Struthio camelus: one gene and its partner. The protein of the gene in region 2 purifies or fractionates together with the protein of the main gene of each other region. This does not show direct contact. Links are inferred from orthologs where the notes say so. Each region holds a gene or a part of one and is shown on either strand. Other genes may lie near its edges.

Region 1 (9,922 bases), on a different chromosome or scaffold from region 2:
GGCGGGAGCGTTGGGGACACACGGGGACGGGGCAGGTGACACTCACCCAGGAGGTGGGACACAGGGACTTGTAGACGCGGTAGTACCACTGGCAGGGGCTGGCGTCCGCCCCCTTGGCCGCCATCGCCTTCTGGCAGCGGTGGAAATCTGGGGGCGGCGGAGGCGAGGGGGTGTTAAAACGCAGGGGGTTGAGCCCCCAGGGGGCCCAGGCGTCCGGGAAGGGGACCCCGGCCCCTCCCGAGGGGCCCAGGTGGCCGGGAGCACCTTCCGACCCCTTCCAAAGGGCCCAGGTGTCCGGGGAGAGACCATGGCTTTGGGAGCCCCTCTAACCCCCCTCCACAAGGGGCCCAGGCGTCCGGGGGGCCCAGGCGTCCGGGGAGAGACACTTCGGCTTCCGGGAGCCCCTCTAACCCCCCTCCCAAAGGGGCCCAGGCGTCCGGGGGGCCCAGGCGTCCGGGGAGAGACACCTCGGCTTCCAGGAGCCCCTCAAACCCCCCTGCCAAAGGGGCCCAGGCGTCCGGGGAGAGACACCTCGGCTTCCAGGAGCCCCTCTAACCCCCCTCCCAAAGGGGCCCAGGCGTCCGGGGGGCCCAGGCGTCCGGGGAGAGACACCTCGGCTTCCGGGAGCCCCTCTAACGCCCCTCCCAAAGGGGCCCAGGCGTCCGGGGGGCCCAGGCGTCCAGGGAGAGACACCTCGGCTTCCAGGAGCCCCTCAAACCCCCCTCCCAAAGGGGCCCAGGCGTCCGGGGAGAGACACCTCGGCTTCCGGGAGCCCCTCTAACCCCCCTCCCAAAGGGGCCCAGGCGTCCGGGGGGCCCAGGCGTCCAGGGAGAGACACCTCGGCTTCCAGGAGCCCCTCAAACCCCCCTCCCAAAGGGGCCCAGGCGTCCGGGGAGAGACACCTCGGCTTCCGGGAGCCCCTCTAACCCCCCTCCACAAGGGGCCCAGGCGTCCGGGGGGCCCAGGCGTCCGGGGAGAGACACCCCGGCTTCTGGGAGCCCCTCTAACCCCCCTCCACAAGGGGCCCAGGCGTCCGGGGAGACACCCCGGCTTCTGGGAGCCCCTCTAACCCCCCTCCACAAGGGGCCCAGGCATCCGGGGGGGCCCAGGCGTCCGGGGAGAGACACCCCGGCTTCTGGGAGCCCCTCTAACCCCCCTCCCAAAGGGGGCCCAGGCGTCCGGGGAGAGACACCTCGGCTTCCGGGAGCCCCTCTAACCCCCCTCCACAAGGGGCCCAGGCGTCCGGGGGGCCCAGGCGTCCGGGGAGAGACACCCCGGCTTCTGGGAGCCCCTCTAACCCCCCTCCCAAAGGGGGCCCAGGCGTCCGGGGAGAGACACCTCGGCTTCCGGGAGCCCCTCTAACCCCCCTCCCAAAGGGGCCCAGGCGTCCGGGGGGCCCAGGCGTCCGGGGAGAGACACCCCGGCTTCCGGGAGCCCCTCTAACCCCCCTCCACAAGGGGCCCAGGCGTCCGGGGAGAGACACCTCGGCTTCCGGGAGCCCCTCTAACCCCCCTCCCAAAGGGGCCCAGGCGTCCGGGGGGCCCAGGCGTCCGGGGAGAGACACCCCGGCTTCTGGGAGCCCCTCTAACCCCCCTCCCAAAGGGGCCCAGGCGTCCGGGGGGCCCAGGCGTCCGGGGAGAGACACCCCAGTTTCCGGGAGCCCCTCTAACCCCCCTCCCAAAGGGGCCCAGGCGTCCGGGGGGCCCAGGCGTCCGGGGAGAGACACCCCAGTTTCCGGGAGCCCCTCTAACCCCCCTCCCAAAGGGGCCCAGGCGTCCGGGGAGAGACACCTCGGCTTCCGGGAGCCCCTCTAACCCCCCTCCCAAAGGGGCCCAGGCGTCCGGGGGGCCCAGGCGTCCGGGGAGAGACACCTCGGCTTCCAGGAGCCCCTCTAACCCCCCTCCCAAAGGGGCCCAGGCGTCCGGGGGGCCCAGGCGTCCGGGGAGAGACACCTCGGCTTCCGGGAGCCCCTCTAACCCCTCTCCCAAAGGGGCCCAGGCGTCTGGGGGGCCCAGGCGTCCGGGGAGAGACACCTCGGCTTCCAGGAGCCCCTCAAACCCCCCTCCCAAAGGGGCCCAGGCGTCCGGGGAGAGACACCTCGGCTTCCAGGAGCCCCTCAAACCCCCCTCCCAAAGGGGGCCCAGGCGTCCGGGGAGAGACACCTCGGCTTCTGGGAGCCCCTCTAACCCCCCTCCCAAAGGGGCCCAGGCGTCCGGGGGGCCCAGGCGTCCGGGGAGAGACACCTCGGCTTCCAGGAGCCCCTCAAACCCCCCTCCCAAAGGGGCCCAGGCGTCCGGGGCGAAAGGGGGGCCCAGGCGTCCCTACCCACCTAGTTCCGACAGCTGGTTTCGAACCGCTTCCGGGTGCGGAAGCGGCGCCCGCGGAGCCTCCCCCATCCCCAGCGGGGCCCCGGCGTCCGGGCCTCCTGCCCCCCGCCCCCGGAAGGGGCCCAGGCGTCCGAGGGGCCCAGGCGTCCCTACCCACGTAGTTCTGCCAGCAGTTCCTGGTCTGGTTCTGGTTGGGGAAGCGGCTGTCGAACGGCGCCGTCCGGTAGCGCTGCAGCTTGGCCTCGATGTCGTCCGCCATCGCTGCGGGGGGGGGGGGGGGGAACGAGAGCTCGTTAGCGGGGGGTTCGTTAGCGGAGGGGGGTCGTTAGCCGGGGGGGGGCCTTAGCAAGGGGAGCTCGTTAGCGGGGTTCGTTAACGGGGCTTGCAAGCGGCGGCGGGGGGCGTTAGTGGGGTGTGTTAGCAGAGAGGCGGGAGCGGGGTTCGTTATCGGGGGGGACTCGTTAACGGGGTTCGTTAGCAAGGAGATGCCAGCAGGATTCATTAGCGGGGCTCGTTATTGGGGGGCTCATTAACAAGGTTCGTTAGCAAGGAGATGCTAACAGGATTCATTAGCGGGGCTCGTTATTGGGGGGCTCATTAACAAGGTTCGTTAGCAAGGAGATGCTAACAGGATTCATTAGTGGGGCTCGTTATTGGGAGGCTCATTAACAGGGTTCGTTAGCAACGAGATGCTAACAGGGTTCGTTAGTGGGGCTCGTTATTGGGGGGCTCATTAACAGGGTTCGTTAGCAAGGATGATAGCTTCTTATTAGGGTTCGTTAACAAGGGGCATTAGCAGTGGAGGTGCTATCAGGATTCATTAGCAGGGGGTTCATTAGTGGGGGGGCTCGTTAGCAGGTAGTTTATTAGTCGGGGGGGGGCTAATTAGCAACGTTCATTAACTAGGAGGCTCATTAATGGGGTTCGTTAGCAAATAGGTGTTACGGGGCGATTTGTTAGAGGGAGTTCTTGGGGGGGGTCGTTAGCAGGGCTCATTAACAGCGATCGTTAGTGAGGTTTGTTAGCAGGGGGCTCATTAACAGGGTTCATTAGTGGGGGGTTCGCTAAGGGGGGTCGTTAATGGGGTTCGTTAGCGGAGCATGCTAGCAAGCTTCATTCACAGGGGTCGTTAGGAGGCTCGTTAGCAGGGGGGCGCTCGTTAGGGCTGGAGCTAACGGGGGCTCCCCGAAACGCTGCAGGGCTGGAGCTGGGCAGGGAGAGATCCCAGTGCGCCCAGTGCCCTCCCAGTAAGCCTGGGTTCCCCCTCCCCAGTGCTCCCAGTAAGCCTGAGTCACTCCTCCCAGTAAGCCTGGGTTCCTCCTTTCCCAGTCCTCCCAGTAAGCCTGAATCACTGCTCCCAGTAAGACTAAGTCCCCCCCTTCCCAGTGCTCCCAGTAAGCCTGAGTCATTCCTCCCAGTGCTCCCAGTAAGCCTAGGTCCCCCCCTTCCCAGTAAGCCTGAGTCACTCCTCCCAGTAAGCCTGGGTTCCCCCCTCCCCAGTGCTCCCAGTAAGCCTGGGTCCCCCCCTTCCCAGTGCTCCCAGTAAGCCTGGGTTCCCCCCTCCCCAGTGCTCCCAGTAAGCCTGAGTCACTCCTCCCAGTAAGCCTGAGTCACTCCTCCCAGTAAGCCTGAGTCACTCCTCCCAGTAAGCCTGAGTCACTCCTCCCAGTAACACCGAGTCTCCCCCTCCCAGCACTCCCAGTTAGCTGCCCCCCCTTTCCCAGTGCCCCCCCAGTGCTCCCAGTAACCTCACTCCCGCCATTTCCCAGTGCTCCCAGTTCCCCCCCCCCACCGGCCTCCCAGTCCCGCCCTTTCCCAGTGCTCCCAGTAGCCCCGGATCCCCCCGCTTCCCAGCGCTCCCAGCACCCCCCCCGAGCCCTCCCAGTGCTCCCAGTTCCCTCCCAGTGCCCCCCGCCCCCCTCACCGAGTCGCGCCGCTCCCTCAAAGTGACTTTCACCGCCGCCGCCCTCGCACCGGAACCAGCGAGACGTCGCGAAAGCGCAGAGCGGCGCCGGAAGTGGCGCGGTCCCCCCCCACTCTAGCGGCCCTCAAGGGGCGGGGCCACAGAGATGAGGCGGCTAGAGAGGCGGCCGGGCAGGGAGGGGGAGCGGCGAGGAGGACCGCGGCGGCCATAGAGAAGAGGCGGGAGGACAGAGCGGCGCCGGCCGCCGGGGGGGAAGTGGGCGCCGAGAGGGGCCCTAAAAGCCCCCTCCCCCGGGGACCCCCAAATCCCCCATTCCTACCCCAAAACTCCTTCCAGTACCCCCCAGACCCCCCAAATCCCCCATTTCTGTCCCAAAACACCTCCCAAGACCCCCCAGAACCCCCCAGATCCCCCATTTCTGTCCCAAAATACCTCCTAGGACCCCCCCAGAACCCCCAAATCCCCCACTCCTGCCCCAAAATACCTCTCAGAACCCCCAAATCCCCCTTTTCTGCCCCAAAACACCTCCCAGGACCCCCCAGAACCCCCATTTCTGCCCCAAAACACCTCCCAGGACCCCCTAGGACCCCCAAATCCCCCAATCTTGCCCCAAAATACCTCCTAGGAACCCCCAGAACCTCCATTGGTGCCCAAAACCACATCCTAGATCCCCCCAGAACCCCCCAAATCCCCCTTTTCTGCCCCAAAATACCTCCCAGGACCCCCCAGATCCCCCATTTCTGCCCCAAAACACCTCCCAGGACCCCCCAGAACCCCCATTTCTGCCCCAAAATACCCCCCAGGACCCCCAAATCCCCCATTTCTGCCCCAAAACACCTCCCAGGACCCCCCAGAACCCCCATTTCTGCCCCAGAATACCCCCCAGGACCCCCAAATCCCCCATTTCTGCCCAAAAATACCTCCCAGGACCCCCCAGAACCCCCCAGATCCCCCATTTCTGCCCCAAAACACCTCCCAGGACCCCCCAGAACCCCCATTTCTGCCCCAAAATACCCCCCAGGACCCCCAAATCCCCCATTTCTGCCCCAAAACACCTCCCAGGACCCCCAAATCCCCCATTTCTGCCCCAAAAAACATTCCTAGGATCCCTCAGAACCCCCCAAATCCCCCTTTTCTGCCCCAAAATACCCCCCAGGACCCCCAAATCCCCCATTTCTGCCCCAAAACACCTCCCAGGATCCCCCAGAACTCCCCAAATCCCCCATTTCTGCCCCAAAATACCTCCCAGGACCCCCCAGAAGCACCAAATCCCCCATTTCTGCCCCAGAATACCTCCCAGGACCCCCAAACCCCCCATTTCTGCCCCAAAATACCCCCCAGAGCCACCAACCTCTCCCCCCCCCCCCGTGCCCCCTCCCTCTTTGGGAGCGGTGTGGGCACTTCCGCCCGGCCCCGCGCGGCGTCGGAGGGGGCCGCGGCGCATGCGCGGGACTCCGGAACGGAGGGGGGCGGTGGAGCCGCGCCGTGACGTCAGCGCCGCGCAGGCGCTTCCGGTTCCGGGGCCCCGAGAGCGGCGCGTGCGACCCCGCGTGGAGCAGCGGCGGGATGCGGCCAGGTGGGGGGGGGGGGGAACTGGGAGGGACTGGGGCGACTGGGAGGGACTGGGAGGCACTGAGGGGCATTTAGGAGGGGCTGGGGGCGACTGAGAGGGCCTGGAAGGGACTGAGAGGGCAACTGGGAGGCAACTGGGGAGGACTGGGGGCAACTGGGAGGGAGCAGGGGGCACTGGGAGGGACTGGGAGGGCTCGGAAGCAACTGGGAGGGGGATGGGGAGCCCTGGGAGGGAACTGGGAGACATTGGGAGGGAACTGGGGGGTATTGGGAGGGACTGGGAGAGACTGGGGGCAACTGGGAGAGACTGAGGGCAACTGGGAGAGATTAGGCGGGACAAGGAGGCAACTGGGGGGAGTGGGGGCAACTGGGAGGGAGCTGGGGGCACTGAGAGGGACTGGGAGGGCTCGGAAGCAACTGGGAGGGGGATGGGGAGCCCTGGGAGGGAACTGGGAGACATTGGGAGGGAACTGGGGGGGTACTGGGAGGGACTGGGGATATTGGGAGACCCTAGGATGAGGCTAGAGAGCACTGGGAGGGACTGGGAGAGACTGGGGGCTTTGGGAGAGACTGGGAGGGAGCTGGGGGGGACAGGGAGGCAACTGGGAGGGAGCTGGGGGTACTGGGAGAGACTGGGAGGGAGACCCTAGGATGGGGCTAGAGGACACTGGGAGAGACTGGTGGTGTTGGGAGAGGCTGGAAAGGACTGGTGGGCACTGGGAGGGAACTTGGGGGGGTACTGGAAGGTGCTAGGAGGGAACTAGGGGACACTGGGAGGGGCTGGGGGACACTGGGGGGCACTGGGAGAGGACTGGGGGACTTTGGGAGATGCTGGGAGGGACAGGGAGGCAACTGGGGGACACTGGGAGGAAACTGGGGGGGGGAACTGGGAGAGGTGGGAATGGACTGGGAGATGCTAGGGGGGCTAAGGGGACATTTGAGGGCCTGGGGGCTACTGGGCATACTGGGAGGGACTGGAAGCGATTGGGGGTACTGGGGGGGGGGAATACTGGGAGACAGAAGGAGACTGGGAAGGAAATTAGAGCAACTGGGAGGGAACTGGGCAGACTGGGAGCAAACTGGAGGTGATTGGGGATGCTGGGGGGGGATGCTGGGAGACAGGAGGGGACCGGGAGGGATATAAAGAGACTGGGGGGGAACTGGGCAGACTGGGAGGGAACTGGGGCGGCCTCTGCCTGCTGCCCAGTGCTCCCAGTTGGCCCAGTTTGAGCGCCCGTCTCCGACAGGGTTCAGCCCCCGGGGGGGCCGCGGCGGCGGCTTCGGGGACCGCGGGGGACGCGGCGGCTTCCGGGGGGGCCGAGGTGAGTGTCGCCCCCTCCCAGTACCACCAGTGCTCCCAGTATGACCGGCGCTGCCGGCCCTGGGGACGCCAGAGCCGGGCACGAAGCTCCCCGCACTGTCCCAGTCCGCCCAGTGGGGCTCGGGGCCCCGTCCCAGTCCACCCAGTAGCTGCCCAGTTCCTCTCTGCGTTCATCCCAGTCTGCCCAGTAGCTTTCCCACCCTGTCCCAGTCCGCCCAGCAGCTCCCTTGTCCCCTCCTAGTGCTGCTCCATCCCACCCCAGTCTACCCAGTAGCTCCCCAGTCCCATTCCCAATCTGCCCAGTTCCTCTCTGCTCTCAGTCCAGTCTGCCCAGTAGCTCTCCTGCCCTGTCCCAATCTGCCCAGTAGCTCCCCAGTCCCATTCCCAGTCTGCCCAGTTCCTCTCTGCGTTCATCCTAGTCTGCCCAGTAGCTCTCCTGCCCTGTCCCAGTCTGCCCAGTAGCTCACCGGTCCCATTCCCAGTCTGCCCAGTTGGGCACTAGTTCCATCCCAGTCTGCCTACTTTCTGCTTCTTGCTGTCCCAGTCTGCCCAGTTGCTCCCCCGTCCCTTCCCAGTCTGCTCAGTCACTTCCCCATCCTTTCCCAGTCTGCCCAGTCATTCCCCGGTCCACTCCCAGTCTGCCCAATGGGGCTCCCCCACCCCTTCCCAGTGCACCCAGGAGCTCCACCGCCCCCTCCCAGTCCGCCCAGTTGCTCCCCCATCCCCTCCCAGTTGCTTTCCCATCGTTTCCCAGTCCGCCCAGTGGCTCCCCCATCAGCTCCCAGTCACTCCGCCGTCCCCTCCCAGCCGCTTTCCTGACCCTTCCCAGTCTTCCCAGTCCTCTTGGTCGCTTTCCCGTCCCTTCCCAGTCCACCCAGTGACTTCCCTGTCTCCCTCTCAGTCTTCCCAGTCCGCCCAGTCGCTCCCTCTCCCCTTCCCAGTCCGCCCAGTCGCTCCCTCTCCCCTTCCCAGTCCGCCCAGTCGCTCCCTCTCCCCTTCCCAGTCCGCCCAGTCGCTCCCTCTCCCCTTCCCAGTCCGCCCAGTCGCTCCCTCTCCCCTTCCCAGTCCGCCCAGTCGCTCCCTCTCCCCTTCCCAGTCCGCCCAGTCGCTCCCTCTCCCCTTCCCAGTCCGCCCAGTCGCTCCCTCTCCCCTTCCCAGTCCGCCCAGTGGCTTCCCCATCCCTTCCCAGTCCGCCCAGTCGCTCTCTCTCCCCTTCCCAGTCCACCCAGTGGCTTCCCTATCCCTTCCCAGTCCTCCCAGTCGCTCCCCAGTCCCCGTCCTCGTTAGGGGCCTCGTCAGCGCCGCTGGCCTTGGCCCCGCAGGTGGCGGGTTCAAGTCCCCCGGTGGGGGCGGCCGCGGCGGTTTCGGCGGTGGCCGAGGAAGAGGAGGGCCCGGCCGGGGGGGCCGCGGCGGCGGCCGGGGGGGTCGCGGTGGCTTCAAGGGCGGCAAGAAGGTGACGGTGGAGCCCCATCGGCACGAAGGTACCGGGGGCCCAGGCGTCCGGGCGGGCAGCAGCACGTTTGGGGGAAAAGGGGGCGGTTTGGGGAGGACGGGGGTGGTTTTGGGGGGCGCCGTGGGGCGGTTGGGGGGGCGCCGTGGGGCAGTTGGGGGGGATGGAGGCGGTTGGGGGGGACGGGGGTATTTAGGGGGTGCCGTGGGGCGGTTGGGGGGGGGACGGGGGTGGTTGGGGGGGTGATGGGGACAGTTTAGGGGAGGACGGGGGTATTTAGGGGGCACCATGGGGCAGTTGAGGGGGATGGGGGTGGTTGAGGGGGTGCCGTGGGGCAGTTGGGGGGGACGGGGGTGGTTGAGGGGGTGATGGGGACAGTTTAGGGGAGGACGGGGGTATTTAGGGGGCACCATGGGGCAGTTGGGGATGGATGGGGGTGGTTTAGGTGGTGCCGTGGGGCATTTAGGGGAGATGGGGGTAGTTGGGGGGCACTGTGGGGCAATCGCACCCCCCGGTTTTGCCCCCCCAGGGGTGTTCATCTGCCGGGGGAAGGAGGACGCCCTCGTCACCCGCAACATGGTGCCCGGCGAGTCCGTCTACGGCGAGAAGAGGATCTCCGTGGAGGTGGGGGGCAACTGGGAGGGCACTGGGGGCAACTGGGAAGCACTGGGGTAGGTGTGGGGGGAACTTGGGGGAATGAGGGGCAACTGGGAGGGACTGGGGGCAACTGGGAAGCACTGGAGTAGGTGTAGGGTGTACAGGGAAAGCCTTGGGGGGGTAACTGGGAGGGCACTGGGGGGAGCTGGGAGCAACTGGGAGGCACTTGAGGCTACCGGGAGGGCACTGGGAAGGCAGCAGAAGCAACTGAGAGGGACTGGGGGCAACTGGGAAGCACTGGGGTAGGCATAGGGGGTACTAGGAGTTCTGGGGGCGCTACTGGGAGGCACTGGGGAGAATATGGGGGAATGGGAAGGAACCTGGGGGGCAGCTGGGAGGGCACTGGAGGCAGCTGGGAAGCACTGGGGTAGGTGTAGGAGGCACTGGGAGCAACTGGGAGGAGCTTGGGGCTACCGGGAGGGTGCCGGGAGGCATTTGGAGGGCAACTGAGAGGGACTGGAGGAGGATTTGGGGGCAGGGGAGGGCACTGGGGGCAACTGGGAGGCACTGGGGGAGGACTAGAGGGCACAGGGAGGGCCTTGGAGGGAACTGGGGGGCACCTGAGAGCCACTGGGGAAGGCCTGGGGGCAACTAGGAGGGCCTGGGGGCTACTGGGAGGCACTGGGGGGAGAACTAGGAGCCATGGGGGCAACTGGATGGGCACTGGGGGC
Region 2 (9,621 bases):
GAATTGTTTTAATGCAAAAAGGAAAACATACCATTTCCAAACAGTTTACATGTAACTGAATCAGTTGCAGTTGATACAAACTAATAAAGTTTTATTAAATAAAACCTTATTGAGCTTAATTACTCAGTTGGAACCATCTTAAATTAATTAGTTCATCTTTAATCACAGGGAATTCAAACACTTACAGAAGTAACCACCTACATGTCTTCCAATGAATATAGACTATCTACCTCTCTCGCATTAAATAGCTAACTTAAAATTTAATTAAATGACCATCATTTTGCAATTTACCCGGTATTTATCCTTTTCACAGTCTTGAATAACATAAGTATCATAGCACCAAAAAAACGTTCATCAGAAACAGAATTGACAGGTTCACACGACAAATTTAATAAATGCATTCAAATTCTAAAAATAACTGAAATTTAAATATTCTACAGGAGAGATTACAGTAAGTTGCTTGCTAGAAAATAGCTGGTCAACAGCTGATCTGTATTGTTAGAGCGTACTAAGGAGACATATTATACTTACAGTAAAGAACGAGGTTCCACAGAAACGAGCACACATCCCTCGCACAAAGCCTTCATGGGCTTGTAAAGTACGAATACACTGTCGTTTGGTCAAGTTCCAAATTTTAACCTGTTAAAAACGGAAAAGTATTCTGTTGTTATTTAATTCAGTTTTCTACAGCCCACAATTACAGTTCATAATTCAAGCAGAAGAGAGCACACACATTATAACAAAATGGCACAGCTGGCTTGAACACTAGCCAGATTTATGTTAAAACCACTTAATTATCTCCTTGAAATAAACAAACAAACAAAAAACATATAGCTCTTTGCTTTTTACTCCTTCCTCCCCCAAACTATACACTTACATTATTTTTGCATTCCCTTATTTTTGATCTGGAATTCTTATTAGAAGACAGCAGCAGTGTTAATTTTAGCAATGACATCCCTTAAAGAAAAAGGCACAAGAAAATAACTTTTGCAACCAATGCAACGTTTTCAACTTCAGCTGCTGTATTATAACCTAAATGTATGTCTACCCCTCACAGGGATTTCTGCTCCAAAATATTTGGAGCCATTTAAATTAAAGAAATGGAGGAGCTCAGTTTTCACATTTGTAAGTACTGTTACTGCTCTGTCAGCGGATAAGAAATCTCAACCACCTTTCATATACACTTATTCCCATGACCCCAAAATTCATTTTCCTCCTGTTTTAAGAGGTTAATCTCCCTTACGCTGCTGTATGATGAATGTATGTTCTATAAATCCTGGAAAGTAAGCGGATACCCAGAAGACACATTTAAAATATACAATTACTATCAAATGTACAACAACATAAGGGTGAGGGAGGGCAGAGAAGATAAATGGTTTTCTTCTGCAATTGCCTCCACATCACAGAACGGCCAAGGTTGGAAGGGACCTCTGGAGATCATCTAGTCCAACCCCCCTGCTCAAGCAGGGTCCTCTAGAGCCCATTGCCCAGGGTCACGTCCAGGCGGCTTTTGAGTATCTCCAGCAAAGGAGACTCCACAACCCCTCTGGGCAACCCGTGCCAGGGCTCAGTCACCCTCGCAGTCAAGAAGTTTTTCCTCATGTTCAGATGGAACTGCCTGTGTTTCAATTTGTGCCCACTGCACAGTTTCTGCCCACTTGTCCTGTCGCTGGGCACCACAGGGAAGAGACTGGCCTCATCTTCTCGACACCCCCCCTTCAGATACTTGTACATTGATGAGATCCCCTCTCAGTCTTCTCTTCTCCAGGCTCAACAGGCCCAGCTCTCTCAGCCTTTCTTCATAGGAGAGATGCTCCAGCCCCCTAATCATTTTCGTAGCCCTTCATGAAGTAAAGCCCACAAAAAGTACCCTTGCTTGCTATTCGTAATAATTATCTAAAATATCACACAGATACACGGTTATCATTTTTAGGGAAGAAGTGAAATTATTATTCCACAAAGTTTTTGAAAGTGTGTCCCTCCCCCCTAGCTCATCTGACTTTATGTAATCTTCTGAATCTGTAGCAGTTCAACTTCAAAGGGCAGTGGGGGGGGGGGGGGGAAAGGACGCAAAAAGCCATAGGGATCGCAAGTTTTAACACTCATTGCTCTATGTCAAGAAACTGAATGTTACCTCCAACTCACAGCTTACCAGAAGTTTCTAGATTTGTGTAAGCACTTACCCGCAGCTATGACAGCCCCTTCTCACTCTTTAACTTAGAGGAACTGTATAGCTGAGAACTGCTTCCTAAACCTTTTTGACATTCATCCCATGCCGGCAGGTCACAACCTGCAGTTTGAGAAACACTGTCCCAAACTGGATAGGATGCCCCTTCTGAGTGAAGTTACGGTATGATAGCCGAACAAAGACACAAAGACAGATAAAAAGAGGGCATTAAAAAAAAAAAAAGAGAGGGGAAGAAAGTGACCTTGTTTGTCGTGGTTTGTAACTGCAGCTTACCTCTCCATCACAAGCTCCAGAAAGCACTGTAGACAAACTCTTTGGGTGTTTGGCCATGCAATTAACTCCATCTCTATGGCCATCAAGCGAGCTAAGAAAGGGTTTTGCAAAAACACGTTCTAGCTTTGTTGCATTCAGAGCTCTTGTGTACTCCCGTGGAACCTCAAAAGGATGCAATATGGGATCATAATTTCTTGGAACTGCAATAAGAGTAACAGTCATTACAAATCTGTTATATGTACTGTATATAACTCAAGGTAAGGTGCATTCAGATGCTTTTCTGTTTGATTTTCCTAGCTGTCGAAGAATTTACTGCAACACTAAGATTTATGCCATACTTACTGTTTTGAAATTGATCTATGGGGATTAGTATGCTCACTTGGCAATGTTTAAGCTAATGAAGTCTGAAATAACTTTAAAGTTACTCGACACCCTTTTTAAGAGTATACTGCTAAACTAACGAATGCACGCAGCAAACTGAAAATTACAGATATTTTGCCCTTCTTGAAATGGATATTAAAAAACAAAACAAAAAACACCTCCTGCCACCAAATTCCAGTAAACGCAGAAAGGATGTGCCTAAACTGACAGGCACAGGGAGCTGCAACCTAGCTCTGTTCCTCTTCAGGCAGCTGCAAAGCAGCTCTGGCTCAGAAATGAGACACAGTCGCTTGGTACTTTGCTGGTGCTATCTCCTTTCGCTGACAGGGATGGTTTATATCCAATAAGCTTGGAGCAAGGGTCTCTCTGCATCCATTTGTGTACCCACGCCTAAAGATAAATTGAGAAAGACAGTAGGAACCGACATTGTGTTTTATACAAAAAGCGTTGTCAGTTGTTCTACTGACAACAGTTAGATCACTCATCAAGATTCAATGCTTATTTCAGTCTACTGATTTTCAAAGAATATTTTTTGCATATTAAAACCCCTAAAAATAAAACCTCTGAGGAAATGGTTGTATACCATTCCATTATATGATAAAGAATTTGATTTAAAAACCTACACACAAACCACACCTCAGCTATTGTTCTAATAAGTAGATTTAATCATCTCGTTCATGGTTTAAGTGCATAACCACAATTAAACAACGAGAAAACGCATAGTTCACAGAATGGTTGAGGTTGGAAGGGACCTCTGCAGATCACCTAGTGCAACCGTCCTGCTCAAACAGGGTCACCTAGGGCAGGCTGCCCAGGACACTGTCGAGACGGCTTCTGAATATCTCCAGGACTGAACAGCACCGGTTATAGTGCTACTTCACAAACAACATAGTTGCCTACCTCTAATTCAATCAAATCAATTCATAGTATATGCAATTTCAAATACTACAGGTCTCTTCTGCTCAAAATACTATTTGATTTAGCGATGCCAAGAAATCCAGAACTTTACACGTGCTCTAACTTTACAAACCTTTCTCCTGAACTATTTTTACACTAAGTAGAAATCAAATCCCATTTCTATCGTTCATAGAGATGAAACTGCGAGCCTGTGTAAAATCAGCTCTGACAGAATATCAGTAGAACAGAGCGTGGAAAGCCATCATCTCATCTACCAGGCCAGAGTTGCTGCATCTAAAACTAACAACTACAGTCTGCAAGATTTTGCCAGTTTCCGTAAGAGATATGCCATAATACAAAAAGCAGGGGGAGAGCTACTGTGCCTGAAACATTAATACATGTAAAAGACTGCTAAGAGTGAGTAGCAGAGCGGGGACTAAAAAACCGAAAATCTGCAGTCCCAACTTTCACTGCGCTTTTAGACGTATCTTGTGAAGCCCCATTTCAGTTCAGGTAACAGAATCACAACCCTTTTTCTTCACAGATGGTTAACTCCCTTCAAACCCCGTTTGAGAGAAATGAACGCAGAGCTTGCCGGCAGACGGCAGGGAAGTCACTTAAGCATTTCAGAGGCGAACATTAACGCCGCTCTTTAACTTCCAGACTCACAGCTTCCGAGACGACCGAAGCGGGGCGTTGCGCGGCCACAGCTCCCCTCCAACCCCTGTAACGAACGCTCAACGGGCGCCGCAGACACGCCCCGCACCGGGCGCATGCGCAGAGCGCCCCCCACCCCCCCACTCCGCGCACGCCGAGCCACCGTTAGCGCCTCCTCAGCCAAGCCCGGCGGCGGGCGAGGAAAAGGAAAGCTAAAGCTCTCGGGGGCCTCCGCACGGCGACCGCGGCGCACCGCTGGCTGGGAACCTTGCCCGCGGGGGCAGCCGACCAGCGGCGTGCGGCCGGCGGGTGCTCGAGGCCCTTCCCGCCCGCTGCCCTCGGCGCTGCCGTGCCCGTGCGGACGGCATGTGGGCCCAGCCCTCCTCACCGCGCTGCAGGTCCAGTTTGGTCTCGCGGACATAATCATCGGGGTTCCGGCTCAGCACTTTGACCCGCATCCTCCCGGCCGCTGCACACGCACACGCACACGCTCCCCTGCCGCTTCCGCTCCGCCGGGCCGGGGGGGGGGGGGGGGAGGAGGAGGTGGCCGCCTCTCACTTGAGCGCATGCGCCGGGCGGCAGGTTCCCGCCGGACTCTCGCGAGACGCGCGCGGGCGGAGCAGGTCCGGCCCTCGGTCCGCGGCGGGGGAGGGGGCGCCTCGCCCCCTGCCCGCGCACTGCAGCCGTTGGGCGCCGCGCGCGCCGTCAGCCGTGGGCGATGGGCGCGCAGGGCCCCGCGTGCGCCGTGGGGGCGCCGGCCGCGCCGCCCGTGCGCTCCCTCTTCCGCCACGTGCGGCTGGAGAACCTGGCGGCGGGGCTGAGCGGCGGCGTCATCTCCACCCTGGTGCTGCACCCGCTAGACCTGGTTAAGATCCGCTTCGCAGGTGAGGCCGGGCCGCCCCTTCCCCGCCCCCCGCCCCCCGCCCCCAGTTTCCCTCTGGGAGGCTGCGCCGCCGTCCGCCCCGGTGAGGCGGGCCGGGGCCTTGCGCGGCCGAGCGGGGGCGCCCGCGGCCGGGAGGCTCTGGAAGGCCGCGGTGCCCGCGGCCGGGAGCTGCTGCGGCTCTTAGGCCTCCGATCTGCAGGCCGAGGTCGCAGCGTGCCTGTGTGGGGCCAAGGCGTCTGCTGGGGGAGGTGGAGTGTGCCGTCATGCAAAAGCCTGAGCTCTTCTCAGAGCTAGCCCTTAATGCTGTCGGCTGCAAATGCAAACCGTACGTTGTGCTTAAGATTTACTAATCCCGTTGCACTTGATGTTTCTGAGCCAGTGACCCACAAACTCTCTTTGGAGAGGTAGGAAAAGGGGAGTACAGCCAGATAAGATTTCGGTGGCTGCAAATTTTTGTCGGTCAAAGTCTATGCGTAGTTGCATAATGACAGGCTTTCGCAGAGTAGCCGTGCAGCTGAGAATAATCGGGCAGTAGGCCAAAAGAGATGGTTCCCTCCTCTCCTTTCTCGAGGTAGGTTTTTGTGTTGTTCCCAGAGACTACAAAATGTGCTGTTACTTGTAGGCTCCGTTATGTGATCAGATCAATCCAAAACAGGGATTTAAACACTTTCTTGTGTGTCTTGAGGGCACACTCTGGTCTATTAAGAGTATAACTAGCAGAAGTGATCCTTCTCTCTTTGGCACTTGTGAGACCACATCTGAAGTACTAGGTCCAATCTTGGGTTCCCCAGTACAAGAAAGACATTGACATACTGGACTTGGCCCAGAAGAGGCCGCCAAGCTGGTCAGGGAGCTGTAACATATGACGTACAAGGAGAGGCTGAGAGAACTGGTTCAGTTCACGCTTTAGAAGGAGACAGCTAAGTGCAGACATTTTGCTGTACCTGATCAGAGGGAGGCTACTGAGAAGTTGGATTTTTCTTGGCAGTGCTCAGCAATAGGACAAGAGGCAACAGACACAAGTTGTAACAGGGGAAATTCCAATTAGATATTAGGAAAACAACATTTTTACCGTGAGGGTGATCACATGCTGGAAGAAGTTGGAGATACTCAACAGTTGACTGGACATGTCCCCAAGCAACCTATCTAAATAGGCCTGTTTTGAGCAGAGGGTTGTATTAGATGACGTCTGGAGGTCTCTTCCAACCTAAATTATTCTGATTCCATATGATTGTTTCACTTTAGTTCTTGATTCTAATCAAGTTTTGGTTGGACTCGTCCAAGGCTCGTAGGTTTTCTACCAAAGTCTCTTCTGAATCACTGAGATCTGAACTCTGTCTTTTAACAGAATAGCTTGTGTGTTGTTTTTTAATACCCGGCAAATGTATCTTTTGTCATGGAAGGGAGTAACATGCTGGTATCTTTTGAGTTTAAATGTCATTTAGGCACTTCTTCCCAGCCCCATGTAAGTTGTGGTTAACGGTCCTTTCCGTTCCTGGTGGCTATCCCAGGGATAGTTTTTGTACTATCCCTAAGTTATTTACTAATATTCCAATATTAAACTTATTCTGCCTTATCTTCAGATAGCTTTTTGGTCAGACTGTATAGGGGGAATGACAGGGATAATTTCATGTGCTTGTTTGGGTTGAAAATAACATTTCCCATGCTTTGTCTTCGACCAGGAAGTAACGGCTGAGATCAGAAATGAACACCACGGAGATTCTCAGCAGCATCATACCAGACAGAGTTACATTGAAATCTTTGATTTCCCCCTTTTTTGGTGTCTTTCTAAACCAGATTTAATAGCAGGGTGGTAAAAATGTGGGAAAGGACCGATGGTGCTAACTCAGGAAGAATGAGAAAGGAGTTCAGTTGGTGTTCTAGTTTTGAGTGGTTAGCAAGATGTTGGTGCTTTGTTAAAATATGCCCAGAAAAAGCATTTTGTCTTTAGTGCTGGAGTCTGTCACGACGCAGTATTGTACACAAAGTTCAACGGAGAATGAATAATGAATAGAGTATTAAACAGAAATATCTGAAATTTTTGCCTGCCAGAACTGATCTTGATGAGGACACAAGAGCTTTACTGAGTATAAAACTTTGACATTCTCAGTAAAATTGCAGTCTAGCCTTATGCCTATACTAGTAATGAAAGCTCCTGATCAGTTATTAGTGTAGTAGAATATTTCAGTTTGGAGGGGAGCTGTGGAGTTCAACCCCCGCTCATAGCAGGTCTACTTAGATCACATTGCTCAGGTTCTTGTCCAGCTGAGTTTTAAGTTGCTCCAGAGATGCCTCCAAGGGTGACCAGCTCCAATATTTGATGACGTTCCTGGAGCAAAAAGTTATTCGTTAGGTCTAGTCACAATTTCTTGTGTTCTAATGCGTGTCTGTTGCCTCTTGTCTTCTCGCCATGCGCTGTACTGCACATGCTGTAGGTAACCATATTACCGTCTTGCTGTAGGAGCAATAGTAGTTAATGTTTTAAGCTGCATGAGCAGCACCTGTGTTCTAAATAAAACATCTCTAACAAAACTGACACGTTTCGTCTTGTTAACAGTCACGTTTTCTGAATGTTTTGACAAAGAGCTGCTCAGTTATTGAGCAGAAGTGTGCATGTTTAAAAAGTGTGTTTTCCTACACGTCCATTCAGTGAGTATAGAAGGAGAAACAAGAATTTATGGTGGAATAACCTTTGAGTGTTCTGGTAAAAACACTTTGAGTCACTAAGACATGGCTTGTTAAGGATATTCCTAGAACGTTTAAAAGAAGAAGATTTAATTTAAGAGTTGCTATTTAGTGCTTAGTCAAACTCCTTATGGAAGTGTGTTGCTGAAGACCCCACAAGTATCACTCAAAATACAACATGAAGTTGCTGGAGTGTTAAAAAGAAAAGGCAGAAAACTTTAGGTCAAAGCTACTGTTCACCAAAAATATGTATTAATTTTGTCAGATTTATAGGGGCTTTCTCTTGCAGAGCTGAGTTCTGGGGGTTTTGGTTTTTTTGTTTTTTTTTTTTAAGTTCTTTAACCGTAGGCTCCTCTTGAAGCTCTAAACCTCAACTCGTGCATACCTTTAAAATATAGCTAATCGGTTAGGTTTCCACATTCACTGCAGCTTTGTTTGGAGGCCACGTACTTACATGGTGGCTCTTAGACAGCTGAACTTCGTACTTCCTCAAACCTTTTTCGATATAATCTCTCTGTTACATAGTAAGTGATGGATTGGAGCTGAGGCCAAAATACCATGGGATTCTCCACTGTATGACCACTATCTGGAAGCATGAAGGACTGCGAGGCTTGTATCAAGGGGTAACTCCAAACATGTGGGGAGCTGGGGCTTCCTGGGGACTTTACTTTTTCTTGTAAGTAGAACTGTGAAATGTTTCATTTCCTATGTAATTAATCCTCAGATATAGGCTGCCTCTTCTTCTGGGGGAAGCGGGGTATGAAAATACGCTAAGTGACTTATAAACTTGTGATTCTTCTGGAAAGTCCAAGTCTGCTGCCCTTTAGTATGGTCCACTGTTTTACAACGTAAGCCATTTGAGGCAGAAACTTGTTACTTTGTCAGGCACAGTGCATGCCTATGGTGCTTCAAAAATACTAAGTAATTTGGGAGATTGCGACATCGTTCTTGAAGAAGCTTCTAAAAGTGGTGAAAAACTGTGGGAAAAGAAAAATTGTACGAAAAATAAGAACCTAAACTATGAAAGATTATAAAAAATTAAAGAATAAAAAGTTGTCTACTGAAGCTAAACGTTTAACTGATTTTCTATAATTTTAGTGCCAGTGAGTTCTTCCTATTTTATGAACGGACGTGCTTTGCTCATAAAGCCTGTTTTTTGTTTTTGTTTAATTTTTTAATATTCGATCGTTTCTACTTTATTAGCTATGTAACTGTGATCTGGTTTCCTGCTGGCCCCAATTAGCTGAAACATTTTAGAGAATGGTTATTTGGTGTGCCTGTGCAAAGCTCACTCATCAGTTGTCTAGATTCTGTTCTTGCTAGGCTTTGTTCCTCAAACAAAGTTCTTTGCTATTAGATCGTTGTTGAACTCCTATTGACTGCTTCTCAATCCACAAAGCAGGTGGCAGGACTGGAAACTGGGTCGAGAGAGAGAGCTCCCTGTATTTCTGAGCTACAAAATAGATGCCTGTCACTGTTTCCTTTTAATAAAAGGAGGACTACCTAATCAGTTTCTCTGAAGTTAATTCTTGAGATCCGATAACTGTTTCAAGATGTAAACTGATGTAACTGTAAACAAGATGTAACTGTTTCACACTGTTACTGAGAGTAATACTTATCAATTTAAATTTGTATTACTGCAGTTCACTTGAAAGAA

The links. Proteins that work in one complex are often made in the same cells at the same time.
Region 1: the proteins of DCAF13 (region 2) and FBL purify together in Homo sapiens (affinity purification with western blotting; 3 studies listed by BioGRID, with this or other methods). This does not show direct contact. The link is inferred for Struthio camelus from reciprocal best matches to the Homo sapiens genes DCAF13 and FBL.

Annotation. Positions count from the first base shown.
Region 1 is NC_090974.1:161,729-171,650, reverse strand, and holds the start of FBL (rRNA 2'-O-methyltransferase fibrillarin), read left to right. Parts: upstream 1-5,766; 5' UTR 5,767-5,817; coding exon 5,818-5,827; intron 5,828-7,070; coding exon 7,071-7,145; intron 7,146-8,466; coding exon 8,467-8,625; intron 8,626-9,123; coding exon 9,124-9,218; intron 9,219-9,922. Other genes in the region: COX6B1 (cytochrome c oxidase subunit 6B1), read right to left, coding at 47-147, 2,481-2,586.
Region 2 is NC_090943.1:145,207,628-145,217,248, forward strand, and holds the start of DCAF13 (DDB1- and CUL4-associated factor 13), read right to left. Parts: upstream 4,974-9,621; 5' UTR 4,855-4,973; coding exon 4,785-4,854; intron 2,662-4,784; coding exon 2,462-2,661; intron 640-2,461; coding exon 532-639; intron 1-531. Other genes in the region: SLC25A32 (solute carrier family 25 member 32), read left to right, coding at 5,115-5,280, 8,490-8,640. UniProt on the Homo sapiens protein: Part of the small subunit (SSU) processome, first precursor of the small eukaryotic ribosomal subunit.